Linked DNA regions of Drosophila melanogaster. The protein of the gene in region 3 interacts with the protein of the main gene of each other region in a pairwise test. Each region holds a gene or a part of one and is shown on either strand. Other genes may lie near its edges. The genes, in order: CG30344, Sap30, sordd1 and ssx.

Region 1 (7,706 bases), on a different chromosome or scaffold from region 3:
TATGAATGGTTCACAACTATATTGGGTCAACTGCCTATGGCCTGGTAAACGCTGTTGCTGCCCATTGACTTTTGAATGCCGAATACCGCGCTGCAATGGGATATTTACTTAGTGAGCTTCATATAATTTTCGGAACTCAAAAGGAAAACTCACGCCGACATGCAGAAGCACAGGAAGTACAGTCCCACACTGATGAAGTTGAAGATTCCCGGATAGAAGTTAACTGTTGCCTGGTACACGGCCGTATAGAGAGGTGCCGCTCCCAAAGGGGAAATGGACTGCAGGGAAGTAGTTAGCGAGAAGATTTTACCTACGAATGGAACAGGTATTAGAACATATATAGAAGGTCCGTGTTCTCCTCCAACTTACCCAACTCCGAACTGGGAGTCACGTGCGACAGGATGGCCTTGCACATGGGCGACATGACGCCCCGCATCATGCCCACCATGAGGGCCAAGTACATCTCGCTGCCGTATACGGCCGTGGCTCTGACCGTGCTCTCAAGAACACAACAGGCGAAGGCCAGGAGTGTCATCATGATGGTGGACAGTCCCAAAAGGCGGCGCAGTAGGATCATGGCGATGGTACTGCCAACCACTTGAATGACCACCCTCGCCGCGTTAAACACACTGTAGTCCTGGACCGTGTAATCGAACTGCTTCCGCATGAACATGTAGTTCACTGTGGACTCGCCCTCTGGAATGCGACCGACTAGTAAGTTCCTCGTCTGGAGCAAGCATCTATATCAATGTCACTCACCCATGGCAAAAACGCACAGTGTCAGCGACATCATCACAAACCAGATGATAGCACGATCGTAGTTCTCGCGCTTCCTGATGCAGGTCTTTACGAGGACCTTAACCAGGTCCAAACGGAAGAACTCGCGGATTCGGGACTGGGCAATAATTACGTAATTAAGTAACAGTTGACATTTGATTGAGAACATTGTACTTACCCCAGTTTCCAAATCTTCGGACTTCAGACTCTCGGCCACAAAGAAATATACGTATAAGAGCGCAATGGAGATAATCGATCCCACCAAGATAAAGAGTATTGAAGCTCCAGTAGCCGCATAGATATAGCCACTAGCTACTCCGCCAGCCATCATGCCCAGGCCAAGGGCAGCTTCCATGGTCACCATTCTGGGAGAAAAATGGATTAATGAATATAAGATAGTTAGATCAAACGTTCATCGAATTCATTCAATAAGATTCAATCGAAGTAACCTCTTTGAAACGCTCACCTCATGGCCCGCTTATTCTCGGTGGCCACATCGGATACATAGCAGTAGAGGATGGTGATAAGGGCGCAGGTGCCTCCGCTGAACACCGATGGCACAGAGGACAAAAGGAACCACCAGGGACTGATATTGACAGCAGTCGTTATTTGAGTAAGAACAACCAGGATGATTGCGCTGAAAAGGTAGCCTACAAAATAAGACTGATACTTTATAGAGTTCACTAGATCATGAGATTATCATATGGCATTCTCACCTGTAAACGTGGATAGCAGGATGGGCCTTCTGCCGAACTTATCTGACCAGGGTCCCAGGAAGAGGCTTACTATGGCGGGAACGGTGCTCTCGAGCATCGAGCTTATCATTGTGATGGTCGAGGCATACTCCTGAACTTGCCCCTCAATCTTCTGCAAAATGGGAACTCTGTTGATAGGGGATTCTCTAAAGGCCGGCTGATAAGCCCGTCAAGCGGTCGTCACGTTTCCATGACTCACTAGGTGTTTTGGCCGGGCTTAAATATCTGCACACATGCATGTCGAAATATTATTCCCGATTTGTGTACTGTGGTCGATAACTTTTTGTGATAAGACGAGTCATTAGTCATAAACAATTTGGGTTTACTTTTGTTGCGGTCAACTGATAAGCAAAAACAGGTGCGACAAAGGTTCTTCAGTATAAGTTAACTTAAGATACCAGCAATACATAGCTTTCAATCCGCATCTAATGTTAACAAGCATATGGAACGAATCACACTTGAACCCACAAAGGAAAAACAATAAGAATGTATATAAACCGAGAATGGTTTTTTCCCACAACAATGACTTCTAATTGAAATGCAATTATAGAATCACTGAAATCGCATTCATTAAAGTTTATGCATAAAAATACATATACGCCTATTGCTTTTCAACTTGCCTTAACCTCATCGGAGGCACGATCCGTACCGAGAAATGGCTCGCATTCGGTAGCATTGTATTTCATGACCGTGACACAGGTCTGGTAGAGTATCTGGTTCTGGTAAACGGCATCTGATGTAAACAATCTGATTTATAAACGCCCCCACAACACAGTAAACACATACATGTATGTACACACCTGTTAGGAATCTGCCAAAGAAAACCAGAAACACGGCGGGCTCTAAAATAAGCGAGCGGGGTCGTTTTAGCCAGCTAGAGAATGTCCTATTGCTGGGTGGCGGCGACCGCACTTCGATGTCCAGCGGTTCATCATCAGCGCCAATAATTGGCTCCTCATCATCTCTCGGCATTTTGTGGTTCAGTAAAGGTCGCGGTGATCGCAGCAATTATCGTGTAGACAAAGGAATTAACGATTCATTCAGCCAAGCAATATATCGTAGCGGGAACTGAGTTAAACATCTGTGCGCGCCGAACTCGAGTGATAGACTAACTGGAGGGAGCAGCTGAAATAGACGACGTAAACAAACAAAGCAAGCGATTGCCAATTTGAGCAAACCAAAGCGTTTGCTGCGCCCTATCTGCGCACGAACGCTCGAGCGGCTCCCTCTCGAGAAACCTCACATCGCGACACACAATTCCCATTCGATTTATGCTCAAAGATATTGAATGCTCGATGTATTCACACTTTATTGTCACACTGCAAACAGTTAAATCTTTTGTTCTTAACTTTACAATGCTTGCACATGCAAAACACAGTCCAAATAGCAGATATAGTATATATATACATATACACTGATCAAAATCATAATAATACTTGCAAAAATATACAAGGAGTACAAACACTAGATTAATTTACACAAATAGTTTCTAATCTTTTAAAACGAGAGCTCTTCGCAGCGCCTGCAGAAGGAATTTAACTTATGAGATACATTCAGCTAAATCGGTGCTCTGGAGAGTTTGTTAGCTGCCAATGGCCTGGTAGACACTGCTACTACCCATCGACTTCTGGATGCCGAAGATCACGCTGTATTGAAAAGTATTCGCTTTAAACTGGACTTGAACTGTGCTTGGTAGGACTTACGCTATCAGAATGTAACACACAAAGTAGAGAGCGGCGCTAATAAAGTTGAAAGCTCCGGGATAATTTTCCAAAGTTGCCTTGTAGACGGTTGTGTACAGAGGTGCAGCGCCCAGTGGCGAAACCGATTCCATGGAGGTGGTCAGAGCAAAGATCTTGCCTAAATTATTTCATATGGTTTTAGTTAATGGTATTTGCAGGCTAAACACTTTGGGTACGTACCAACTTCAGTCGCGGGTGCAACGTGCGAGAGAATCGCGCGGCACATAGGTCCCATGACGCCACGCATCATACCCAGCGTCATGCCCAGATACAGCTCTTGCCAGTAGACTGCTGTGGCTCGAACCGTGCTCTCCAGAACACAGCAAGCCAGGGAGAGCATTGCCATGGTTACGATAGACATCTTTAGAACGCGGCGCAATACCAACATGCCAACGATGCTGCCCACAATCTGGATCACGATGCGGGATGCGTTGAATAGACTGAAGTCCTTAATGGTCCAGTTGAATTTATCCTGCACGAACATGTAATTTACAGTGCTCTCTCCCTCTGAAATCATTATAAATTAACTCATATAATCTTAAGTTTGAATTATGTTACCCATGTCGAAAATGGCTATCGTAAGGGCAATCATTGTAAGCCAGATGATTGTGCGATCAAAGTTGGGGCGCCTCTTAAAGCAGGTGCGAATCAGGTCCGTGACCAAATCGAAACGGAAGAACTCACGGACTCGCGACTAAAAATGAGGGAAGGAGTGTTGAGATATTCGTTTCTTCTTAGCTATAGAAATTACTTACTCCGGTGTGAATGTCACCTGGATTTAGGCTTTCAGGTACAAACAGAAGCACGTACATCAAGGCAAACATCATCAGGCTACCAGCAATGGAAAACAACACCAGAGCATTTGTGGCAGCATAGATATAACCGCTGGCCACATTGCCCACCATTATGCCAGCACAGAGGGAGGCTTCATTGAGGACCATTCTTTCAAATAATATATCAAAATGAAATGGCATTCTTTGGATTAATAAATCAAGACTACCCATACTCACCTCAGAGCCTTCTTTCGCTCCTTGGCCACATCGGATATGTAGCAATAGATTCCAGTAATCAAGGCGCAAGTTCCGCCGCTTACGACGGAAGGAACCGAGGAAAGGAGGAACCACCATGGACTTATATTCGTGGACCTCGTTATGTAAGTGATTACTATCAGTATGAGTGCGCCAGTGAGGTAGCCTTTAAATACAATAAGAGTCATTTGTACAAGATGCAATTAAGATGTCCTGACTGATGATTATATACCCGTAAAAGTTGTCAGCAGGATTGGCCGCCTTCCGAACTTGTCGGACCAGGGACCCAGGAACAGACTCGCGAAGGCAGGAATAATGCTCTCTAGCAGAGAGGTTGTCATCATAATATTTGCAGAATACGTCTGTACTATCACCTCGACTTCCTGAAAAAACAGAAGTTCACTTTAGTAAACTGCACAACTGTACAACTGTGGATGAGTCAATGTGCCATATCTCGTACGTATAATTATAATTTTAACGCTTTCCTAGTAAATACTTCGATACTGCTTCGAAATGCAGTAACAAAGGATTTTGCTTACTTCTATTCCGGCCGTTGATAAGCCTCGACTGGCGTTCTAATTACCTTATCTCTAGCCTCCAAACAATGGCAGTTTTGCATTAGGTTGAGACGATTTGCTAATTTGATTTTACTTTGTCACGTCGGATGCTGATATAGTAAGATATACTAAGTAGGTCACGTCTTGGAAGAATATCGGCGAGCCAAATGCGAAATACATTGTTCTATACAGCAAAGGTCATAATAGTAGCAATTACTCGTAAAACAAGTTAATATTGTGATACATTAATTGTGGTTTTAAAATTGTTCAGCAGTTTTTGTAACTTAAACTTCAGTTTTTGTTTACAGTTACTGGATAAATTTGTTTAAAATTGCCATTTTCCTCATCGCCATAAAATCACAACACGAAACGCCCAGCAAAGCAGCAAAAATAATTTGCACAGAGATAAAAACCAGGCAACGAGAACAGAAACTACACAAAGTACAGATATCAAATTGTACATGATGTGTATACTATAAGGGTCAAATTAAATACTTACTTTATCCGCGTCCGATCCGCGATCAATGCCCAGCAGCGGTTCACATTGCGTGGCATTGAATTTCTCGATGGTGATGCAGGTTTGGTAGAGAATTTGGTTCTGATAAACCGCCCCTAAAACGCACACAAAGTTAATTCAATGATGCAATCCAATCGGTTTTACTGCCCTATAGCCATTATACCAATTAAATTTCTGGCGAAGAAGATTAAAAAAACTGCGGGCTCCAGGATGAACCAGCGATAGCTGCTGTAGTCATGAGGCGGCGGTACCGGAGGCGGGTCCACCTGCTCACTGCTGGCCGCAGATGATGCGTCCAGTATGCGTGGTGCCGAATCTTCGCCAGTCTCCACATCGGCCACCAAAGCCTCCGTATCAGAGCGAGGCATACTGCCGTTCCGTTCCGTTCCTACTTGCTCGCTATCGAGAACGGAACTCGTGGATGCGTCTGGCTTACACCAGTCTACCGGAGATAATGGAATTTACAATTCATTCACCAGAACGCTGCGCAGTTCCCTGAAAGTCTTCCAAACGCGACGGAGAGTTTTCAGATACTAAAGCTTCAGCTGCTTTACTGCTGATTAACGTGGATTTATTGTTGCTTAAATCCCTGGTACGTGTATTATTTTCACAAGTACAGCTGGCTGGATTCTCCCGCAGTTAACGTTACTCTATTCGAAACTTTCTAAATGCAAGCAGCAACAGCTGATTGACTTCTTCTTCTTCTGTGTTATTGTTTTGATTTCGATTTTCGATTCTTAGTGCTAGGGATGCCAACTTGCGGCGAATTGAGAGTTTGTGGTTTAAATTTTCTGACACTTTTTACTGGTTAATTAATTCAATTTATTTATAATTTTAGTAGCGTCGTCGGTCACGCTCTCCTCGCGAGTCCCGTTCCCGCTGGTCGTGACGGCCACGGTCACGTTCTCGCTCTCGTTCCCTATCCCGGCGATCTCTGTCGCCGTCCCTCTCGCGCTCCCTGATACTGTCGCGATCTTGGCGCTCTCGTTCGCGATCGTGGCGTCCATTGTTTTGCCGACGGTCATAGTCCTCGTTGTGGGTGTCCCGATTGCGCACCCTATTTCGCTGGCGGTCGTAGTCTTCCAGTTCGTCGTAGTAATCCCGGGAACGGGCGCTGTTGCCCTGCCCAGATCTTCGCTCGCGCTCCCGACTGCGGGACCTTGACTTGGAGCGAACTCTCCGTGGTCGTCTCACTGCTGTCGAATTCTCCTTAGGCCGGTTGGTCTCGTCTGCCTTCTCCTCGTCGCTGGGCAGTTCGTCGTCCAAGTCCTCATCCAGCACTGACACCTTGGGCTCGATTTCGTTGTTTTCCTCGAGAATGGAGCGCTTCTGGATGCGGGGCAGTATAATGTCGCAGACACGGTCGTTGCGCAGCAGTTCGTCAATGTACTCATCCATGTAGACAATCTCGAACTGGCCGGCGCGATTCTGGCGGCGCAGCTTTCGATTGTCTATGTACAACGGCTCCAGGTACTTGTAGCAGTCCAGGGCAGCTCCTGTGAGCCGTAGATAGAAGGCTCCCAATGCTCGAACGTACTTGAACTCCTCGTTCTTGATAAACTCCACTACGATGTCCTTTTCCGGCTGAATCTGCAGCATCTTGAGTGTGAGGCAGAGGAACTGGGTGGGCTTGATGTTGCCGCCGTAGACGCCTCCGACGAATCGCAGCTCCATTGCCTTGTCCACCAGAAGCTCCGCAGTGAGAGCAAAGCATTGCTCCTTCCAGTACTTAGAGTCGTATATCCTCGAACGGATGATCTTCTCGATGAGGTACTGCGGATTGGTGCCGTGCACGTTTTTGGCCTCCTTCACCGTGCGGTTGGCCATTTTCAGTTGAACCCTTGTTCCTTGTCAATCGTAACTCAAATAGGACTTTTCAATCCAGAAATTCGGGTATCTATTGGCAGCAGTGCAAAATGTGAAAATGCACCGAATATATTTATTTATTTTTCGGCGTTTGCTAACCAGAGTGGCCAGCTGCGTAAGGGAGAAATATGCCACTCCGCCAAGCGCATACACAAAGGCGATAACGATAGGGGACGGCAATCGGTATCGGGTGACGCATACGAACAACAGCTCCCAGACAACCAAGAAACGCAATAGCAGAAAAAAACTCACTTGTTCGCTAAATTCGGGTGAAAAAACAGATCAGCCAGGATGAGTTTCTTCGGGAAGATGTTCGGCGGCAAGAAGGAAGTGGCCCCCACCACCGGCGAGGCGATACAGAAGCTGCGCGAGACGGAGAACATGCTTATCAAAAAGCAGGAGTTCCTGGAGGCCAAGATCGAGGACGAACTGAATATAGCCCGCAAGAATGCGTCTAAAAACAA
Region 2 (6,999 bases), 990 kb from region 3:
CGCACGCGAAATGAAACGCACCAACACACTCGCACGCACTTTGGACCAAACTCTTGGTTTCGATATCGGATTTAGCCAGGAAATCGGATGGCAATCCTTCGTTTCGACCGTCTGCCCAAGAAGGAGCTACTCTGGACGACCGGTTGGGAATGATACTAATTTATTTATCGCACGAACGTAAAGCGAGCAACACTTTTACGTAGTAAACCAGCACAAAAAAGAACGACACTCAGCGACGGCGTTGCTAGATCTGGAAAAACTGTCGAGCCACCGCTGCTGGCATTCTAGTTCGATTTTCAATCCGGTAGCAGGTTCTGATCCTGGTGAACCAGTCACTTATTTTTTACTTTTTAAAATTAAAGATAATACAAATAAAAATTCCAACTAATGCCTGGTGTAAAATTATTGAATTAAATATGAAGTGTTGCATTTTATTTTGGAACTAATTTATCTATAGGCTCCTAGGCTTACAAAATTGTTTTGATGTGGCGAACCAGTCACGAATCACTATGTTCCTAAAATATTTTAGATTGTTATTTAAAAATAATAGAAATCATTATTACAAACTATATTTTGTGCTTGAAACTGTAATTTTATGATACTAAAATACTCTTCTTTATATGTTGCGTTTTGGAACATAAAAACTATATAACGTTTATGTTTTTTATGTTGTAGTCTTTGTATACTTAATATTGATAATCCAATCTGGCTGGCGTACATATATATATATATATATATATATATATAATTTGTGAACCAGTAAAAAATTCATAAAAATAATGTTGCCATCTGTTAAACGTTAAACAATTTGCACACATATGTATATATATCGCCAATACTATTGAAGAACTTGAATTAGTGCATTACTTTCATAGTTATTGCCTAAGTTGTATGCCAAATAAGCTGTATAGGCATTTGAATAATTATTTTTTAGATAGCCAACGACCTAAAAAAAAATATTTATTTGTGCAAAATTTAAACTCTAGTTTAAATATACCTAAATGTTTATGGCGCTAAAAGCCACCTTGTAGTGCACCATAAAATCGTCTTCTTATTACACATAACTAAAAAAATGTCTAAATATTTATTATGCGTTTTAATGGTTCCAGTTCCGTGGAACCAGTTCCGGATCAGCATGTATGTGGATCGCAGTGGCAACGCCGCGCTCTGCACGTTTTTAAAAGCCGGCCAAATTCAGTCCCAAACGAATTCAAAACAAATCGAAAGGATCCTTCCCAGCGAATACCCAGGATGTTCCATAACTCAAATTTTTTCGAGCCGGGCAAATCGAAGCCAGAGCGAAGCTTCGTCCAATTGGCGGTGAAGCAAAACCAACGCCTCGATGGGCGGCGCTCCAACGAGTCCCGCGATGTGGAGCTGACCTTCGGCAAGGATTGGGGCTCCGTGGCGGTGTCCATGGGCGATACGAAGGTACTGGCCCAAGTGACCTGCGAAATGGGACCGCCGGCCTTGTCGCGGCCCAACGAAGGCAAAATCCACCTGAACGTATATCTTGGCGGTGTTGCTTTTCTGGACGAGGCGCATACCACACATGACCAGCGATCGCTAAAACTGAACTCCCTGCTCGAGAGGACCTTCCGCAGCTCTAGAAGCATCGATCTGGAATCTCTGTGCGTGGCCGTCGAGAAGCATGTGTGGTGCATCCGTGTCAACGTCAATGTGCTCAATCACGACGGGAATCTGTATGGTAAAAGCACCAATCTCAAGATGAAAAGCGTGATTACCTCACAAATGATCAAAAGCTATCAGTTGGAGCCATACTTTGGCCATACTTTCATTTTTAAAGAATAATCTTCATATTAGTTTTATATTTTTATATATCTATATATCTCAATTCTTTCTTATAGACGCCAGCACCATAGCCACTTTGGCTGCATTGATGCACTTCCGTCGACCGGATGTCTGGTATAAGGACGGCGAACTGCGCATCTTTAAGAAAAAGGAGCGCGAATTCATTCCACTGCTTTTCCACCACTATCCCGTCAGTGTAACCTACTGTGTTTACAAGAGCAGTGTGCAACCAATACTGGATCCTACGCTGCTGGAGGAGAACGCCGCCGATTCGGTAATTGTCCTGAGCTTTAACTCCTTCCAGGAGCTGTGCAGCCTGACTGCCGGAGGCACTGCACCCACAAATGCCCGCATCATCATGCAGTGTGCCCGCAATGCGGCGGTTCGTTGCAAGTCTCTGTTGAATTTCGTACGCAAAGCTTTGGCGCTGGACGAAGAGTGTCGATCGCAGGGCGATCAATCGGTCGATGGGCTGGTGGCACTGATTTTAAATACGGAGCACAAGTTGAGCTACAACAAACTGATGGGCAGACAGAAACAGGAGCAGCAACCTCCGCCAAGCGAGAAAATGCAGTTGGATAATAACGAGAGCAGTGAGACGCCTGTGGCCAACGAAGAGCCGTCCAAAGAGGAAAGTGCTGGCGCACCGATGGACACCAGCGACTGGCTGCCACACGATGAGGACTCCCAGGAACTGCCCATGCGCTCGGAAGCAAGCCCATCGAAGGCAGGCCTTAAAGGCAAACAAAGTCGCGGCAAATACAAGGCGAACAAAAAGACACCGCCGAGGAAGCAAAGTAAGTTGGCAATCATGGCTGGAGTCCCATTAATAACGCATTGATTCTTCTCCAGATCACAGCGACTCCGAGGAGGAAGCCAAGCGATACATCTAGCCGTTGTGATAGTCGTGTAGTTAAGAGAAAATGCTTTCTATTAAGTTTTATTTAGGCTTATATGTATGGCTAAAATCAGTCTAGGCTTTAACATAAATCGTTTAATGCGTAATTCCAATTGATTTGTGGAACCGATGTTCGTCTAAGTTAGGCTTAAACTAGAGCTCTAAATATATCTCCAAACCGCCGGGGCAAACGACACGATGTTTTAGTTTAAATATTGCAAATTATTTCGTTCGTTATTTCTCTGTTTGTAGCGATAATTGGTATTGGCTTCCGGATTCAATTTGCTTTCACATTGAAGTCTAATTGTGTTTTGATTCGCTTAAAGTATCTGGTTACTACTAACTGATGTCTAGCCAGAGCCCCACTTCACTTAACATGATGTATAATACAAACGATCAAATAAACATGTCTTTAAGCCTAAGAATACGAATTGCTATTTGATTGAGTGTGTTGTGTTTTCTGTTAATTCTCTTGTAAATTTACATAGTTTATTTAATGTAGTGCGTGTATAAAGAGCTATTAACAACGGACCAAGGCTACAAATAGTTTTTGTAAATTTCTTTTTTAATATTAGACTCACTTTCGCAACATACTAGTTTATTTATTTTTAATTTTTGTTTGTTTTGTTTTTCGTGGGAGCACCAGTTGCCTTCTTCCTTACGTTCTTTCATTGCTGTTTTACTTTTCGCATATTACTTGTGTTCCGGGGAGTCGGGGGAAAGGCTTAAGGGTTTGGGCAGTGGTGGCTTATGGGTATAGGATTGGGTTTCTTGGGGGTCACACGGATGAGGATGAGCCATTGCACTATCAATATTCTCGTTCATCCCTATTCTGGTCAACAATGCCGACGTCCAGCAAATGCAGCAACAATGTGAGAAGTTTGGTTGTTAATTTCTTTTGATCGGCAGTTGGCCAGCGTTAAAAGGAGTAGACGTCGTCGGCGTCCTCCTCCTCCCTCCGCCCGCCGACGCGCCTTCAGGTGGTGTCGTTGCCAAGGCCGTTCTTCTGGTCCAGCTTATTCGAGCCCATCTTCACCATGTACACGAAGAATGTGATGATCTCCTTCTCCTTGATGGGTATTGTCTTGAAGTGTTTCATAATTGTCTGCGGGAGAAGAGTAGAGGTTTGCAACTTGATTAAAACAGGGTTTAGAAAACCTTATAAAGGGCATGGCACATTTTTCTGCCTTTTCTTTAGAGTGGAGGCTACTACAAGAGGGCCAACTATGGAGCATCACGGAGCACATTAGACCAGCGTGTTACCCCACTGAAATCCGGCAACAGAAAGTGGACATAGCCTGCTCAATTCGTTAACTAGGTCAAACTTACATCCGCCAGCTGCGCCCGCTTCATGCCCTGCCTCGTTTGGACCTTGAAGTGGCGCTTGTAGCGTCGCAGCGTGCTCACGCCCAGCTGGTAGAGATCGGGGAACTCGTGCAGGTCCGTGTCCGTCTCGTTGCTGTCGTCCTCGCTGTCCTTGCGCCGACGCTTGGTGCGCACCGACTGGATGCGCTCCTTGTGGTGGTCACAGATGTAAATGTGCTGCGCGGCCGGATCGCTGCTGAGCTTGAGCCGCTTTTGGGCCACCGTCTTCTGGATGCGCTTGGAGTAGCTGGCGTAGCCAGCCTGGTTGCGACACCGCTCCATGTCGTCGATTAGGCAGCACGTTTGGTCCGTGTGCCCGCGACTGTCCTCCTCGCCGGTGCTGAATCCGTTGTTCATCCTGTTCCCGATCCTGGCCGATTGCTTTCGAGTTCCTATCCAATCCCCCTTCCTGCTCTGCTTGCTGCTTCTCTGATTTTCTCCGTTTCGCTCCTTTGTCTCCTCTTTCGTCTTTCTCACTTTCGACTATTGCTTTGCTTTGTTTCTCTTTGCAAGAAAAAAATTTTCTTTCGACAGCGCGATGTGACCAAACTGGGAAATGGGGAAATTCCTCCGCAGCTGGCAAGAGCGGACAATTTGAAACTGTTTGCAGTTTCTCAAATATCTTAAATATCAAGTGCATTTTTTTCCAGATTATCGATCAATATTTTTTAATTGGTATTAATAATCGCACAAAATATTAATTAAATAAATATTAGTTAATTTCAGTACTTAAATTTAAAAATACCGTGTACCAAAATATAGTTACCTTTTCCAGCATTGATTCCAATTCCGATAGGTACCGCACACCGGTACGATAGTTGAGCCAATTACCGTTTTTGTCATCACTAGCTCACGTTAGTGCAATGAAATTTGAATTTCCTTTTTCTCAGGCGTATCTGACTGCTTGTCTATATAGAATATTATTATACTCGTCTTCAGACCAATTCTTGATTGTAGTTTCTGAGACGGGGGACTAACAAGCATATATTTGTTAAATGCATCGACGCAAGGAATTTTCACCGTAGTGAGTTGGAGAATTAAACAGAATCATTCAAAAAGACTGGGAAAAGGAATACGCAGAATTTTCTGCAAATAAACAACGGGGTTACTGCAAACTTTTCCCAGGCACATTAAAAAAAATCTTAGCTATAACGTATGTGACAATTATATTTTGAATAAATGAATAATAATGTGACCAATGTAACGTTTTCGATAACGTATCGTACATCTTATTCAGTTGTTGCAGTACAACACTGCTAGGCAGCAATTTCCAGCCCTGGAAAAATACCAAAAAATCTACCATCTCTCCAAAAACGAAATCATAAACGCTTACCAGGGACATCATCGATTTTCTACACCAAATTAAAAGAAACCTATAAGTTATAGATTTGCTACACCAAATTGAAATAAAATCAATCTCTTCAACCTTAAGTCCTTGGCTATTTCCACGTACACGAGTGTGGCCAAATAATTCCACGACATTTGCGGATGTCGCGGTAACCTAAAACACAAAAAAAAAAGAGATTGCAATATTTCGGAGATAAAAACCCTCAAAAATGCCGCCTGGAACGCAAATTGCCAGCGACAGCGATATGGAGACCGCTCTGGAGGAGTTCAAGCAGCGCCAGGGACGCCGCAACAGCATCGGCTCGGCCAAGTACGCGTGCAGCATGCCCAAATGCGAGGCCACATTCAAGCGGCTGGACCAATTGGATCGCCATGAGTATCATCACACAGGGATTGTGAGTATAGTTAGAGTATGTTAAGTGTAAGCCAGTAGTAACGCCGCCACCACTTTGCAGAAGAAGCACGCCTGCTCGTACGAGGGTTGCGACAAGACGTACTCGATTGTGACGCACTTAAAGAGGCATCTGCGCAGCACCCACGAGCGTCCGGAGTCGGCGGCCAAGAAGACGGTGAAGTGCGCGCTGGAGGAGTGCAGCAAGATGTTCATCTCGGTTAGCAACATGACCCGCCACATGCGCGAAACCCACGAGAGCCCAAAGGTCTATCCGTGCAGCCAGTGCAGTGCCAAATTCTCGCAAAAGCTCAAGCTGAAGCGCCACGAGATCAGGGAGCACACGCTGGAGTATCCGTACAGCTGCTCGAAGTGCTCGCGCGGCTTCTACCAGCAGTGGCAGTGCCAGAGTCACGAGCCCAGCTGCAAGCTGTACGAGTGTCCCGGCTGCCCGCTGCAGTTCGACAAATGGACGTTGTATACGAAGCATTGTCGCGACTCGTTGCACGGCAAGAATCGCCATAAGTGCGACCGCTGCGATAGTGCCTTCGACAAGCCGAGCGAACTGAAGCGTCACCTCGAGGTGAAGCACAAGGAGGCGGCGCAGACGGATGAGTGCGCCACCTCCTTCACCTGCAACGAGGAGGGATGCGGCAAGAGTTACTCGTACCTCAGGAATCTACGCCAGCACATGCTCACCGCCCACTCGGGCAGGCGTTTCGAGTGCCAGGCCTTGGACTGCGGCCGCTGTTTCAGCAGTGCGCAGAATCTGGCGAGACATCTGCTCAGGGATCACAAAGATGGTGCGACGAAAAAGGAATTGAAAGCCAAGAAGAAGGACAAGAGTAAGACTGGAGAAGGGGGCAAAACTAAGTCCACATCCCGCAAGCGACGACGCGATGCTGGACGCAGCAAACATTCGAGGCTATCCAAACTGGCCTGCCTGCAATTGGACAAGGAAGATGATGAGGCGGTGCGCGAGCGACAGCCTTTGGTCCTCGAAAAGATCACCCAGTCGCTGAAGGATGACCCCGTCGAGGAGCTGCTGGCACAGACCCTGCAGGATGAAGAGGAAAAGGAGCAGGAGTAGAGCAAAAGGCCATTCAAAGGGACGGGAGTGAGAAGGTCTGGTCAAGAGGCTAACAATTGAATGACTACTTTAATTTAAACCACAACTTCTAAAAGA
Region 3 (6,818 bases):
GATCGAGGCGATGAGCGTGAGTTTCCGTCAGCATATATAGTATATAGTATATAGTATATAGTATGTAGTTACATAATTTTACCATCTATATAACCATACAGCACGATTGCCAGGCGTTTCGGGATCTGGCTGGCGAGGCTGCTCAAATATCGCACGAGTACAATGAGATGCACAAGAATATCCAGGCGAACGATACGCACACCTATCTTCCGGAATGCTGGGCCGGTCTAGTGCCAGTCAAGGCGGAACTCTACAAAGGTAGAATTGGTTATCACCTCGAAATGGGAATATTCATTCTAAAGTATGATTGTAAACGCCAACAGCATTCGCACATTTCTACAAGGCACGGAGCATAGATGCGACAGACGAGCTGAAGGCATCAAAGTCAAGTCAAAAGAACCAAGAATCCTTCATCGGCAATTCCCAGGAGGTGGAGCGCATCACCACAGCCGATTATGGAGCCAGCGATGAGGCGTCCACCTCCATTGCCAACAAACTGGCCCACTTAAAGGAGGCGCTGGCCAGTATCGAGGAAGCCCAGCGATTGCAGCGGATGTGTCGGTTCTTGAAGGTAAATATACTTCTTATATCCTATAGCCTAATAACCTAACCTTTAACTTTAATCTTTAAGAACAAGGCATCACTGACTGAAGTCATGAAGGAGGTGCACTCCAAATCGCAGGAGGAGCTCGAGAAGTTCAGACTGCAAGCTTCAGCCAAAAATATCGAAGATGGCGATCTTCTAGAGCGATCGGTAGAAGGTACATATATCATACTCAAGATAAGCCGATGTCTTCATGTACATACATGCATCCATATCCTCAGCATCTTCGAAGTTCACGTTATCCCTGACCGGACCCGACTTCACATCGCACAAGGTTAAGGATCCCTTCAAGCGCCTCGGCCCGATTGCAATATTCTCGGCGAGACGCCACTGGACAGCGCCCAGATGTGTGCGTCTCCAGAAAGGTTCCTCCCTGTATCACAGCGTGCCCAGCAATGACAACAAGTGCCCATTGGATAACGATGATGACGAGGAGCACGATGGTGGATACAATCTGTACAAGGAGGAGTTTGAGAACTTTGGCTTCCATGTGCGCGGCGATGCTCCGGTGATCATTGCCCACGTTGAGATTAATTCTTTGGCAGACGTAAGTAAATGCTACTTCCATCGATTCGTCGTATACTGTAGGCATTATTTTCAGCTTGGCGGCATCAAGGAGGGAGACTTCATAGTCGAGATAGCCGGCGTGGACGTGAAGTGGTACTCCCATCAGCAGGTGGTGCAGCTCATACAATCCTGCGGCTCTACACTCGAGCTGAGAGTGATAACGCCCATGGATCGCAACTACTTGAAGGTGCATTTTGTTTATTAATCATACGTAAAAAATCAGCAAACAAATTCACCTTGTTTACGCACAGCCATTGTCGTCGAAGGGCTCATTATCAACGCTATCGGCGGCCAGTTCATCGGGCATTTCATCCGGATTTCCCAGTCCCACAAGTATTGCGGCCAAGCCCAAGCTCCACCTGAAAACATCCTCTAGTTCGCGACCCGCTGGCAGCGTTTCATCCAGTTCGTGGAATCCGTTTCGGCGAACGCCTAGCTTAGCTAAAATATTTTAAGTAGCCATCAGTTTTATTTTGTGTTTTATTTTTTTGCTCTTAAGGCAATGGCCATTTCAAGTTAAAAAGAATGTTGTGCAGTTTAAGTTAAGCAATAAACTTAATGATTTTTTAAAAGCCCCTCTATTATACCCATAATTTATTTTATTCCTATTGATTCAATCGCTCCCAATCACCCATCGATAATAATCTACACGGAAAATGAATTGAAATAAATGTTTTTAATGTTTTATCGAATTTAAAATATATATTTATACAATTTTTGACATCTACATTTGAATTAAATCATTACGATCCAATGATTTCGAAATTTCAGTTTTTTATGCTGGAGTCGTAGGGTATCGCGGACTTTTTGAAATAGTTTGGGATCCAATCCACTTCTGTTTTGCGAATCCTCAAATTACAATTATAACCGAATGCTAACAATTTATGTTAATTAATCACACCAACGACTATTGCCCAACGAGTTTAAGAATATTGTTGATTTAACTGGAGGATACTGCTATATGATTACTTCGCACGCTTTCCATACACATTTGAACATAGGTTCTTCTTATCGGGGTGATGTCTTTATGCGTTCGCAGATTGCTATGCATAGAACAGCCACAATATCCACACAACGGCCAAATACGAAAACAGCTTGGACAGGGTCTGTTCATCCTCGTATTGCCTTGTTCCCCGATTAGCAGCTAAATACATGGGCAAATGTTATTTAATATCAATCTCAGAACTATTGAGATGGCATGTAACCTACCAGGTGGACGTGGTTCGCCAAAGTTGAGCGTAGATGTTATGAACCCGAAAGGAAAAGCTCCAATACCGAAAGACATGTGAAATCCGTCGCCGAATCCGAATCCAGGGAACCCGGGAACAGGATCTGGTTCTGTACGTTGTCCAGCGGGGCGTGGTGGAACTTTGTTACTGCAAAACACATATAAGTTGGGTTATTGAAAAATACTCATGTTGAAAGCGGTTCAAACCTACCGTGGATCTTCCTGGTGTGTACTATTTCTTCCGTACAGCGGTATGACCTTATCCTTATCAACGGCAGCCTTACAAACGGGACAGAGTTTGCGATTGGGACGCGTCAGGAGCCACTGATGCAGGCACGGCCAGCAGAACAGATGGCCGCACATGCTGACCACAGCATCCTTGGCGGTGTCCAGGCATATGTTGCACTCGTAGAGTGAGTCGTCTGCGGTATGTTCCTTCTCCTTGTCCTTTTCGTTGGCTTTTGTGTCCGTATCGGTGCCGCCGAATGGATAGCCACCCTTCAGATCGGCCTTATTGCCACCAGATAGATAGTCTCCAGTAAAGGAATACGAAGTGTTGGACTTCTTCAGTTCCGATGCCGTCGAATTGGTTGGAATCGAGGTACCCAGCGGGCGCAATTGACTTGTAGATGACTCCTCAGCCAAGGGTTCTGTGATATCCCGAGTCCAGGCTATCTTGTCGTAGCTCACGTTGTTGGACAAAGTCGATGAGGACGACGATGCCCCGGTTGATGTGCTGGGAAGCTCCGCTGTGGGTACACTTTTCGGTTCCTCCATGGTTTGCCCAAGATGCGGGTAAAGTTTTAGTCGTTCAAGCTGCAACGTAACGTTGGATGATTTAGAAACCCAAATTTGCTAAGTAAGTCTGTGTTCACCCTATTGACAAGTGCCTAGATTGCTTAGATGATTTTCCTAGGCCATTTCTGGTGTACAACTAAGGTCCGCACTTTCTTGAATATGACTTAATTTAATTAAATACTTCAAGCGCAGTTTGAAGGGGGTTTCCCCCGAGTTCCGCAGCATTCAGCATTTGTCCGACCCCATGGGGTGGTGTTTATGGCTACGAAAACCGCCCAAAGGGCGTATTTACCACCAAGTCTTCAAGGATAATGCACCGAACATTCCCATTGGCTGCACCCACATAAATTAAACAAAAAAGTCAAATTTTGTTTGAATTGCGTTGGCAAACAAGACGGTATACCTGCATATGTACCTGGACTTATGTGCGTACTTATGTACACATCTACACACTCAAACACTCGCGTGTATATAGGGCTAGAAGGTTTCCATCTACCTGTTACATATGTACATTGGAACCGATTATATGCTTATTTATACAGTACGTATAGATGTCAAAGATGTCACATGATGTTTTCATGGAGCACTTCCTATTGGAGTCAAGGGGAATTATATGCTCATATACATCGAGTTCCAGGGATTGCGTTTAAACGCATTATAACTTAATTAAACTATATATAACTTCCTGGGGCACAGCAAATAGTATAACTTCTCGAAATTACATACATTGTAAGTGTATTGTTTGCAAAACCTGACTTGTTTGCCCTCATTTTATTGTTTGTTTTCGCTCACAGTTTGCTTCTACTTGCCGTGCTAAGTATTGTTAAACCGAATCAGAGAATGTTGCTAAATTGATTGTGTGGACAAGTGTGTTATGTTACGGTAAAATTGGGAATTTATCAATTGACGTCTTAGCACCTCAAAACAACTGCACTGACGATACCTGACCGAGGCCGATAGACCTTTACCCTATCGGTAAATAGCTGCCTGTATAACAGCCCGTCTCCACCGGACCAAAGTCCACGCTCGCGTTCGATAACTATCGAGTTAGGTGAAAAATCTCGGATCTCAATGAATCCTTTGAAAAGTGATCAGTGATCAGTCCTCGATTGATTTGTAAACAAAATAAACTACTAAATACATTTACAAGACTAAATACTATTCATAAGCAGCTGTTGTGTGCCATGGACAATCGATAGCAGGACTCACTCGACTATCTCTAGTTCCTAACGATCTGGTCACAACAAAGGTCAAGAATTCAATAATTTTATTGATATTAGACTAAACCAAAACAAGGAACAGCTGATTTGTACAACGCTAATGCATCTATAAACGTTTAAGTCGTAATCGATAGCTCACCCACTGTGCAGAAATCACGTGACCATCCCTAATTAGAACTGGCTTCTTTCAAAACAAAGCAAACGAAATTTAAAACTTTTTCAATTTATATGTTCCATTGGTGACTCTGGTTGCAGTGAGCTTCTTGGCACGGAGCAGAATCCTTTATCGGCAATTCCCAGGAGGTGGAGCGCATCACCACAGCCAATTATGGAGCCAGTGATGAGGCGTCCCCCTCCATTGCCAACAAACTGGCCCACTTAAAGGAGGCGATCTTCTAGAGCGATCGGTAGAAGGTACATATATCATACATCTCATACTCAAGATAAGCCGATATCTTCATGTACATACATGCATCCATATCCTCAGCATCTTCGAAATTCACGTTATCCCTGATCCCTAAAAAGAATGTTGTGCAGTTTAAGTTAAGCAAAAACTTAATGATTTTTTTCACCCATCGATAATAATCTACACGGAAAATAAATTAAAATAAATGTTTTTAATGTTTTATAGAATTTAAAATATAAATTTATACAATTTTTGAAATCTACATTTGAATTAAATCATTACGATCCAATTATTTCGAAATTTCAGTTTTTTATGCTGAAGTCGTAGGGTATTGCAGACTTTTTGAAATAATTTGGGACCCAATCCACTTCTGTTTTGCGAATCCTCAAATTACAATTATAACCGAATGCTAACAATTTATGTTAATTAATCACACCAACGACTATAGCCCAACGAGTTTAACAATATTGTTGATTTAACTGGAGGATACTGCTATTTGATTACTTCGCACGCTTTCCATTGACATTTGAATATAGGTTCTTCTTATCGGGATGATCCGTGCACTATTGGAACGAGCAGCCCATATATCACAAAAACGACAAAATGCCAGAACAGTTTTGACAGGGCCCAGGGTTCATCTTCGTGTAGCCTTCTAATATCAGCTAAATACATGGGCAAATGTTATTTAATGTCAATCTCAGAACTATTGAGATGGCATGTAACCTACCAGGTGGACGTGGTTCGAAAAAGTTGAGCCTAGATGTTATGAACCCGAAAGGAAAAGCTCCAATACCGAAAGACATGTGAAATCCGTCGCCGAATCCGAATCCAGGGAACCCGGGAACAGGATCTGGTTCTGTACGTTGTCCAGCGGGGCGTGGTGGAACTTTGTTACTGCAAAACACATATAAGTTGGGTTATTGAAAAATACTCATGTTGAAAGCGGTTCAAACCTACCGTGGATCTTCCTGGTGTGTACTATTTCTTCCGTACAGCGGTATGACCTTATCCTTATCAACGGCAGCCTTACAAACGGGACAGAGTTTGCGATTGGGACGCGTCAGGAGCCACTGATGCAGGCACGGCCAGCAGAACAGATGGCCGCACATGCTGACCACAGCATCCTTGGCGGTGTCCAGGCATATGTTGCACTCGTAGAGTGAGTCGTCTGCGGTATGTTCCTTCTCCTTGTCCTTTTCGTTGGCTTTTGTGTCCGTATCGGTGCCGCCGAATGGATAGCCACCCTTCAGATCGGCCTTATTGCCACCAGATAGATAGTCTCCAGTAAAGGAATACGAAGTGTTGGACTTCTTCAGTTCCGATGCCGTCGAATTGGTTGGAATCGAGGTACCCAGCGGGCGCAATTGACTTGTAGATGACTCCTCAGCCAAGGGTTCTGTGATATCCCGAGTCCAGGCTATCTTGTCGTAGCTCACGTTGTTGGACAAAGTCGATGAGGACGACGATGCCCCGGTTGATGTGCTGGGAAGCTCCGCTGTGGATACACTTTTCGGTTCCTCCATGGTTTGCCCAAGATGCGGGTAAAGTTTTAGTCGTTCAAGCTGCAACGTAACGTTGGATGATTTAGAAACCCAAATTTGCTAAGTAAGTCTGTGTTCACCCTATTGACAAGTGCCTAGATTGCTTAGATGATTTTCCTAGGCCATTTCTGGTGTACAACTAAGGTCCGCACTTTCTTGAATATGACTTAATTTAATTAAATACTTCAAGCGCAGTTTGAAGGGGGTTTCCCCCGAGTTCCGCAGCATTCAGCATTTGTCCGACCCCATGGGGTGGTGTTTATGGCTACGAAAACCGCCCAAAGGGCGTATTTACCACCAAGTCTTCAAGGATAATGCACCGAACATTCCCATTGGCTGCACCCACATAAATTAAACAAAAAAGTCAAATTTTGTTTGAATTGCGTTGGCAAACAAGACGGTATACCTGCATATGTACCTGGACTTATGTGCGTACTTATGTACACATCTACAC
Region 4 (8,887 bases), about 14 Mb from region 3:
TTTTTTTCTTAGCTTTGGGGCTAGCGCTGAGACTGGCAAAGCGATTATCCCCCAAATTGAGTGGCCCGGGGGCCATGGTTAATAAATTTATGGATATTGAATGTTTTTGATTTGCACGTACGCGTTGATAAGAAGATCAAGAAGATAAGATGATAAATATCAATGTAACGGCGATGGTAATTACGCGATAAGCAAAGCTCACACAATTGGAAAGACACAGACGTCCGCACTCGAAGAGAGATAGTCGGTGACTGCGTATCCTAAATTAAAAATGATAAATTAAGCTGGGTGCTCGGTTCTTGGGAGTAGGATCTAAGCATAGAATAATGATGGGGGACTAGGAAACAAGCCTTTTACTGGATTCCCGAACCAGTTACGCTATTCCTTTAATTTTTACTTCACAGACTTGGTAAGCAGCACTTCCTGTCAATTTATGGAGTTATATAAGGAGATTTATCGCCGGATTGATAATTAAAACTGCTCGACATGTCGGGTGCATGTTGGACATGGACTCGGCAGACTGCAGACTGGCGGCGTGGTGGCGTTGTGGCTGTTATGCAAATCGTGCGACTGGGAAAGCAGTTTACTTTTACTTTTCAAATCGATTATATGTGCACACAGCCGCCATTTCGTGCCCGCCCAGAGCACACTAACCCACTAAATCGCTTCAAGTGGTATTTTGGCATTCGGAACGAAATGGGTTTGGGCTATGCAATTCGCGAGCTTCCCAAGTGGAGTCGTTAACCCGCCGCCGAAGTCATTATCTAATGGTAATGTGCTGCATTTTAATTGCTCACTTCGTTCGTTTATCGATCGAAGTGGACGCACCTTTCACCCGACACTTGCAGCTTGCAGTGGGGATTGCGAAAATCCCTTCTCTTCATCTCAATCCATCATTAATCCATTCATCATTAATCATCAATCATCAGGGATTGGCCCATGAGTGAACTGTCGCGAGCAATCGGGAAGTTGTCTATCGGTGGCTATCGTTGGGATTGGGAAAACGATTGGCAATGGTGATAAACTAATAGAATTGCAATTAGCCTATAGATGGTGTTTACTGCCCGATCATTAGTGCTTGTCCTTGGAATTCAGAAGGATCTTTCACGTGGGCAAAATTGATTACATTGGGCCTCTCTTTCCGTTTTGTGATTTTTTCTATTTGCCTATCTTTGACCGTCTAATTGCCTTGCACTTGCATCGAATTTTTCAACGTCAACTGGTTTTTCAACTGGGTGGTTGTTAACCCGTTGATTGACAACGGGTTTCGGTTTCTCCTGCGCAGGAAACTGGCCGCCGCCGCAGCAAAGGCCACATGCCGTATACGTAATCCGCTTTAATTGAACCACTATCGCACGCACCTATTTTCCAAATTTTCCAAACAATTGTGGCAGGCAGCGGTCATAAATTACAACAACAGACTGAAGTTCGTTGCCGTGTGTTGCCATTGTTGCTGGTGTTGCACATTTCACATTTCGCTTGCCACAACTCCAGCTACAGGTTGGCCAGCGTTGGTGGGATTGGCCCAAACCGGGTATAAATCGAATCTGGTCCCGAACGCAGAGCCACATTCAGTTCGCCACTGCCAAGAGGAGCACTTCGCGTAACGGTCTACAGTTTCGAATATTTTTTTTGATTGTGCCCCAGTGTGTGATTCAAAAGCAACCAGAAAACCATGCTCAAGTTGGCTGTAAGCACCGAAACACTTTACAAACATAGATTCGTTTAATGGAATGAACGTTTTCAAGTCAATAAGATAGTTTATGAAAAACAAGAACCAAATATTTCTGAATATTTCGGAATGGAAAATGGAATGCATGTTCTGTTTTTCAACCTCACCACCTCATTAACAACTTGGAAATATATTTAACATTAGATTTTTAGTTTAAAATGGAATACCGCATTGACTATATTACCCATTCCTGCAGATTACCTGCCTGGCCCTTCTGGCCGTTAGTGGAGCTCTGAAGATCCACGACTACCACCAGGGGCACGAGGAGTACGAGCACCACGACCATCATGAGCACCACGAGCCGGAGCACCATGTGAAGTACGAGCCGGAGCACGAGGAGACGGAGCTGCACCACGAGGTGGACCACAAGCACGCCACCTCGCACCAGAGCGTCAAGTTCCACCACTACCATGCCGTGCCCGTCTACATCAAGAAGGAGGACCAGCACCTGGTGAAAAAGCCTATCGAGATCGGCGGCACCAAGCAGAAGCTGAAGATCCTGCACCCGAAGAGTGAGCACAACCACAACCACGGACTGGTGCTCGAAAACCACAGCGAGTCGCACCACGAGCACGGCCACTACGAGGAGCCGGTGCACCACTCGGAGCACTACGAGCACTACTCGCACCACGAGTAGGACTTGGACTACCAGAATCGGAAATGCCAAATGAGCTGTGGGGATTTCGTTAGCGTTTAAGGATTTGCTACGTTAATTTTCTTGTGTTAATAAAGCGTTGACCTAGAGTATAGAGTACCACCCAAATCAAGAGATCTTATATTATATTGCTTAAACTTTTTTGATTGCTCCACTCTGAATTTGCCACAACTTCTTTCACAGTGTATTTAACTGCTCAGGTGAACTTCGATAACGATCTATCAATAATTGAACGCGCAGGCAATTTATCGCACCACGACCGCTTGTGGTATTTCTGTGTTCTGGTATATTTTTAGGTTCAACCCTGGCGAAAAATTGTTTTTGGCATAACTGCTATAAAGTACTGAAGAAATTCAATAATAATCTTAACAATGGCAATTAGACAAAAAATGGTTTAAAACACTTGATGCCTTCCAGAGGCGGACGGCATGAGTTATCGAACTATCAAAGAACTGCTGGCCCCGATAGGTTCCGATACAAATCGCACCGCTATCGAAGAAGAATTGACTTCCATTGTATATCGTTTGGAAACGCAAGAAGTGCACAAAACTCGCTGCTTTCCGGTGCAGTTTGTGAAGAAGTTTGCTAAAAAGTGAGTATTTTGCACCTGCAGAGTATTCCGTGGCCGCCGCTGGCTGCTTCCCGAGGACTCCGTGCTGCCTACGCTTTTTCGTGTTGCTTTTTTCGGCTGCACGGCCCCAAGCCAAAAAACACGGACGCATCGCCTGCCGTGTGTATGTGTGCGTGCGTGTATGGGCGAGTGCGCGAGTGTTGGTAGTTACTTTTCCAGCAGCTTTTTCCAAGTATTGCGGGTAGCGCCGGAGTTGCTATTGGGACTCCCTGGTACGGACCCCTAAAAAGACCAGGGGCGGGCAGTGGCAGGCTACCGAGTGCAACCGCATTCCAGCAAAGCTGGCGCCCTCCGTCCGGCTCCTCCCCCTTGGCTCGGCTGCCGAGATGTACACACACATATTCGGATTCTGATTTTGCCGAGAGGAAGTGCAGTTCCGGAGTCCCGAGTGTGGAGCTGCGCTCAATCTGCATCCTGCAGCCGCGCAACAAGGAGCATCGCTCGTCCCTACTGCGACTCCTAATCGGAATCCCTCTTGAACTTCTTCTTGGCGAACTAATTGATTTGCACTCTCTTGTATCGTTGCAGCTCGTGGCGCCAACTGCGACGCAAACACGCAAGAAACCCAGACAAACAGGAGCTATCAAGGCTTGACACAGAAGGTCATGTCCAACGCGGATAAGATGCAGGACCAGGAGCACGACGACGAGCAGTCCTCCGACATAGAGGTGAGTTTTTGGATTCTCTTAGCGAGCCGACGAACCTGTTTTCACGCGTATATTCCCGACTATTCGCTGCTTCGGTGCAGGGATCCGGCGACAATGTGGGCCGTGATGACGGCACCGACGATGACGACGACAGCAACGGCAACATGCAGCAGGAGAATGGAGATGGCGGCAACGGTGGCGACGGCCAGGAGCACTCTGGCGACGAGGAGCAACACCACAGCCAGGACAACGAGGGCAACGATAACTCCGCAGGCCAACAGCAGCAAATGCAGCAAGTGGACCGAACCAGCGCCACCAATCTGATCATCAATTACTTGCCACAGGACATGACCGACCGCGAACTGTACAACCTCTTTAGCGGCTGCGGGCCCATCAACACCTGCAAGATAATGCGCGACTTCAAGGTAAGTTCGGTTGTGGCCGCCTGAGCGCCCAGAATACCTGCTGAACTGCACGTAACAGGTGCCATCCCTGTCGCACGTTGCATGTACACACGAATGCAGCTTACACTCCCCTCTGCTTTGTATGCCCGCCAACGGAACAGACCGGATATAGCTTCGGCTACGGCTTCGTGGACTACAAAACGGAGTCGGACTCGGAGGACGCCATCCAGAAGCTAAATGGCTTCTATGTGCGCAACAAGCGATTAAAGGTGCGTTAGAATCCCCCGGAATTCCCATGACTCCTTTGTGACTCTCTTTTTCGTCTCCCTCAGGTGTCGTATGCTCGACCGGGTGGGCAGTCCATTAAGGATACGAATTTGTACGTCATCAACCTGTCGCGAAACATCAACGACGACATGCTCGACCGCATCTTCTCGCCCTATGGCCTGATTGTTCAGCGAAACATCCTGCGGGATAAGCTCACTGGACGACCGCGCGGCGTTGCTTTTGTGCGGTGAGTACGGGTGCGATCTGCGTGTGCAGCATCCACGATTCGAAATTAGGTCACGGTGCTCAATTCCCGTCCAGTGTGCCCCACTTAATTGTATGCTCACAGAAATCCACGTCCAAATTTATCATGAGTTCGACTGGTGGCTGAACTGCACTTACTTCGATTCTGCTTTTGAAACCCGCTTTCTTGCTTGCAGTTACAATAAGCGCGAGGAAGCTCAAGAGGCGATCAAGGCGCTGAACAACACGGTGCCGGAGGGCGGATCCCAGCCAATCTGGGTACGACTCGCCGAGGAACACGGCAAGGCCAAGGCGGCCCAGTTTATGGCCCAGATCGGAGGTGGCAATGGTGGCGGAGGCGGTGGTCCGCCCCACATGGGCCCAGGTGGACCGATGCACCCACCTCATCACCACAATAATCACCATCACAACAACCACCACAATCCGCATATGCCGCCGCATCATCATCAGCCGCAGCATCCACACCAGCATCCGCAGCACCATCCGCAGCTGCACCACATGCAGCACCACCATCCCAACAACCACAACAACAATCACCCCAACAACCACCATCATAACAACAACAACAACAACCACCACAACATGGGCGGCCCGCATCCGCACCACATGCAGCAAATGCACCCGATGGGCATGAACATGGGCATGGGCGTAAACATGGGAATGGGCATGGGCATGGGCATGCCCATTCACGGAGGCGGCGGTGGTGGTGGTGGCGGCGGCGGTGGAGGCGGTGGTGGTAACTTCCACCACATGGCGCACAGAGGTAGATCAAATAGAACAACACGATCTCAAAAACCGCATCCATATAACCATGCACAGAAATTTATTTAAACGCCATTAATTTCTTTACACGATATTAGCTGCATCTCACAGGTGAAGTGTTCATGCTGCCATTGCCGATTTGCAGCCGATTCCCCAGCCAGCCGCATCCCGTAGGCAATGGCATTTGCCACAGCCCCAACAAGAACAGCAGATTCCGTTTAAGCCGCCGCCCGCAAGCCTCCAGAACAACCATCAGATATATTGCGCATTCGGTGGCAGATCCCGTTCCCACTCCGACTACCTAGTGCCGCTCTACTTTCCAGCCCCCGCCCATCCATCAGTTGTTTCCATCTCCTCGCCAGCTGCGTCACTTTCGGCCTACCCAGCTGTTTTGGCCGTGTATGTTCCGGTATATGTCACGGTTCCGGTCTCTCTTCCTGTTACCATGAACAGAGCCAGTCCACAAGCTTAAAGTGAGTGCAGACGGAGGCGGCGGAGGCGGTGGCCACATGGTAGAAGCGAGTAGAAATAGATTGAGTGCAATCGGAGGAGGGAAGAGGAGATATTACCCAGAAGCGATATCCAATAGTAGCCAACTCTCTCGCTCTCTATGTGTATGTATGTATCTTGCTATCCATATATGTATATCCATATCAGAGAGCCAGGATTGGTTGAGACCATACGATATAACCCGAAACCACACTGGCCAGGAATAGCAAATCCAAGCATTGGCAGCAAGAGGCAAAGCAAAGGTGCACGGCAGACATAGGCAGTACCACAAGAACACTATCACAGAATTAAGCAGAGCAAATTAAAGATGCATAGCGTGTATTAAGATGTACGAAATAATGTTCCAAAGTTAACCAGCCTACACAATCCCCAACAACACACACACACACACACATAAAGACGGTCGGAGTCGAATCCTTGATCGAACCACATAAGAAAAAATTCCAATGAGTTTGTATGAGCAACATACAAAGCCCCAAACGCAAACCATCAGCCACTCAAGACGAGACGAGAACGCAACCAAAACTCAAATATAACTTTCCTGCACTCATCTCCAGTTCACGAAACAATCTTCGCTCTTGGTGGATTGCGAATTGTAAATGAATTGAGTAACTGCACGGATGCAAAGCCCCAAGATGTGGCGACTATTCCGGCCGGACACTGTGAGACGGACGTTACACACACGGATATATAGAGAGACGAACCTTATGACAACAGACAGAAGACGCTTGCTCTGAATAGATGGTTAATTTGTAGACTTATAAGGAACGTCGACAGCGAGGGTTCGTTCGCGTCACTTGCTTTTTACTACATTATAAATAAATTATTGATGTACTACCAACAAACCAAGAACAAGAACACCACACTATACAAACACCTATATATTAGATAATATATATGAATGATGTATAAATACCCGAACTTCGGGTAAACTTCCAACAGAAACCCGACAAGAAGATGGCTGAATATGAAATAAACTTGAAATTTTCCAACCAGCATACCCGTGAGACCCAGAGGTCCGAAATTTTTTTTTTTTAGTATTGATAATCTCTAAACGTAAATCCTAGTCTCGTAGCAATATCATAGTTAAGGTGACTTTTTTTTCAGAATAAACTTAAAGCACGAAAGAAATACATGTATTTAAACCTTAAATCCTAAAGTTTATAATAAACGAACACAAATTGAATTCTTGAGTCTGCGAGCGAGATGGTGCGATGCAGCCTCAGCGAAAGAGAGCGAGAGAGATGATACAGATTTGAGGTACAGTCAGCACAGTACAGTGCGGATCAGAGCTTAAGTTGACGATATACTATTGTTGTAAATTGATGTTAGGCTAAGCAAATAAATAGTTAAAATGTTCAATTTTCGCTTAGCTGAATCCTGATCGTCGTAAAAACGCATTTACACGAACATTATATACTAGTCATTAAGCGGTTCTATTTGACAGGTGAAAACAAGAAGCTGTGGCAGCCTTTTACTACAGAAACTAAAAAAGAAAAATACAAAGCTTGACATATACACGCATATTTGTGAACAAACTGAATTTTACCATACATCTTTGAGAATTTTAGGACAGTATTCTTGATAATCTATATTGAATGTTGATCTACACTTAACGTTGCACAAAAGAGGTATCTTTCTGACCTTCTATGCGCGTGGAGTGGATCCAAAAAATCAACTTGGTGTAATAAATGTGTATTTAAATCACAAAACGGGCATCTTTTCCCTTTCAATTGGACATCAGAGAGTTTCGACAACGCACACCTACTAGTTTTTTTGCGAGCTTAACTATTTCAAATGTGGTTGAGTAAAGCCATTAATATTGCTTTTTATAAATTCAGCATAAGTGGCAAGATGGTTTTAAATTGCGCGCCACTGCGGAACTACCTGGCATCACTGGCCGCCACTTATCGATAGCCACTGGAAGGCGAGAGAGAGAGAGAAAGAGAGGGCGCGAATCAGCTGCTGGAACGAGTGTTGTTGGAAGGCAGTGTTGTTGGAAGTGGCAGCGCCTTCCAATGTCAATTAAATAAGCAAAACGCGAAGAAAACCCAAGCGTAAAGGAGAGTCTCGTTGCCGCGCTCGAATAGAAATCCAGGAAATCAGTATCAATTCAACCGCCCTTGACACATCCACAACCACTTTGACATCCGAATCCGTATCCGGGCGAGGTGGCACGGCTGGCAGGAAGAACGTAACGTGAGTGGCTGCTCTATTCTATTCTATTCTGTTGATTCAGCGGAGTACACTACGCAATAACCGATAACGACCTTACCACCGCTCCCCTCTCCGCGCCCATCCGCAGCGGAGCAGTGGAGCACCCCCAGTCCAACAAGGAGCTACCTGCTCGAGATGCCCCAGATGAGGGCTGCGGCCGCTGAGGCGGTGGCCGCCGGCAGCGCCAATGGCCAGCCGCTGGTCAAGATTGGGCACTACCTACTGGGCGCAACCCTGGGAACGGGAACCTTCGGCAAGGTGAAGATCGGCGAGCACCAGATCACACGCGTCAAGGTGGCCGTCAAGATACTCAATCGTCAGAAGATCAAAAGCCTGGACGTCGTGGGCAAGATCCGGCGTGAGATCCAGAACCTAAAGCTCTTCCGCCATCCGCACATCATCAAGTTGTACCAGGTGAGTTCATGGCTCCAAGCTTAGACTTTCTAAGTCCAAGCTTTCCAGGAAACTGGGTTACTGGTTTCCTCTTCCAATTACGCTGGCCAGCTACTAATAACAAACAATCAAGCCGCAGTTTAATAAACAAAAAGGCAGGATATGCCCGAAGGGGGAATAGCTTTTCTATAACAACATTTTGGAGGTTTGTTTATCTATAAAGTACACGGTCATGCCTAGTCATCCGAATTTTGTTGCGGAAGGCAAATGCATATCTAGAAACTGGGCCACTGGCTAGACATTCGCAACAGACATAGAAGCCCAACTTAAATGAGCAAAAAGTTTGGAAGGAAAGTTTATAAAAGGAATATGTACGGGGTCTGCTTTGGTTTTACAAGCACATTT

The links.
Region 1: the proteins of sordd1 (region 3) and CG30344 interact in a two-hybrid assay, tested with the Drosophila melanogaster proteins (one large-scale study listed by BioGRID).
Region 2: the proteins of sordd1 (region 3) and Sap30 interact in a two-hybrid assay, tested with the Drosophila melanogaster proteins (one large-scale study listed by BioGRID).
Region 4: the proteins of sordd1 (region 3) and ssx interact in a two-hybrid assay, tested with the Drosophila melanogaster proteins (one large-scale study listed by BioGRID).

Annotation. Positions count from the first base shown.
Region 1 is NT_033778.4:9,143,625-9,151,330, reverse strand, and holds CG30344 (uncharacterized protein), read right to left. Parts: upstream 6,072-7,706; 5' UTR 5,745-6,071; coding exon 5,540-5,744; intron 5,472-5,539; coding exon 5,359-5,471; intron 4,686-5,358; coding exon 4,535-4,685; intron 4,469-4,534; coding exon 4,285-4,468; intron 4,217-4,284; coding exon 4,030-4,216; intron 3,969-4,029; coding exon 3,833-3,968; intron 3,782-3,832; coding exon 3,455-3,781; intron 3,393-3,454; coding exon 3,236-3,392; intron 3,179-3,235; coding exon 3,115-3,178; 3' UTR 2,819-3,114; downstream 1-2,818. Other genes in the region: CG30345 (uncharacterized protein), read right to left, coding at 27-90, 154-310, 370-696, 760-895, 956-1,142, 1,244-1,427, 1,494-1,644, 2,153-2,265 and 1 more; Prp38 (pre-mRNA processing factor 38), read right to left, coding at 6,211-7,203; shrb (shrub), read left to right, coding at 7,534-7,706.
Region 2 is NC_004354.4:16,785,383-16,792,381, reverse strand, and holds Sap30 (SIN3-associated polypeptide 30), read right to left. Parts: upstream 5,100-6,999; 5' UTR 4,842-5,099; intron 4,698-4,841; 5' UTR 4,433-4,697; coding exon 4,040-4,432; intron 3,816-4,039; coding exon 3,687-3,815; 3' UTR 2,738-3,686; downstream 1-2,737. Other genes in the region: Rrp45, read left to right, coding at 1,252-1,708, 1,869-2,609, 2,665-2,705; CG9609 (uncharacterized protein), read left to right, coding at 5,632-5,817, 5,878-6,903. UniProt on the Drosophila melanogaster protein: Component of the class 1 Sin3A-histone deacetylase (HDAC1/Rpd3) complex (HDAC). Appears to be a non-essential subunit of this complex which is not required for cell cycle regulation of progression through the G2 phase of the cell cycle.
Region 3 is NC_004354.4:15,791,887-15,798,704, forward strand, and holds sordd1 (suppression of retinal degeneration disease 1 upon overexpression 1), read right to left. Parts: upstream 4,143-6,818; 5' UTR 4,116-4,142; exon of another isoform or gene 3,924-4,115; intron 3,690-3,923; exon of another isoform or gene 3,601-3,689; intron 3,531-3,600; exon of another isoform or gene 3,275-3,530; intron 3,216-3,274; 5' UTR 3,177-3,215; coding exon 2,611-3,176; intron 2,548-2,610; coding exon 2,381-2,547; intron 2,316-2,380; coding exon 2,215-2,315; 3' UTR 1,835-2,214; downstream 1-1,834. Other genes in the region: Rhp (rhophilin), read left to right, coding at 1-16, 102-258, 324-571, 632-761, 826-1,151, 1,206-1,358, 1,423-1,626; sordd2 (suppression of retinal degeneration disease 1 upon overexpression 2), read right to left, coding at 5,367-5,485, 5,551-5,717, 5,781-6,346.
Region 4 is NC_004354.4:1,367,685-1,376,571, forward strand, and holds ssx (sister-of-Sex-lethal), read left to right. Parts: upstream 1-2,895; 5' UTR 2,896-2,979; intron 2,980-3,546; 5' UTR 3,547-3,623; coding exon 3,624-3,686; intron 3,687-3,766; coding exon 3,767-4,090; intron 4,091-4,189; coding exon of another isoform or gene 4,190-4,230; coding exon 4,231-4,338; intron 4,339-4,401; coding exon 4,402-4,583; intron 4,584-4,776; coding exon 4,777-5,363; coding exon of another isoform or gene 5,364-5,431; exon of another isoform or gene 5,432-5,473; coding exon 5,474-5,667; 3' UTR 5,668-6,993; downstream 6,994-8,887. Other genes in the region: CG14770 (uncharacterized protein), read left to right, coding at 1,676-1,690, 1,929-2,369; AMPKalpha (AMP-activated protein kinase alpha subunit), read left to right, coding at 8,225-8,503.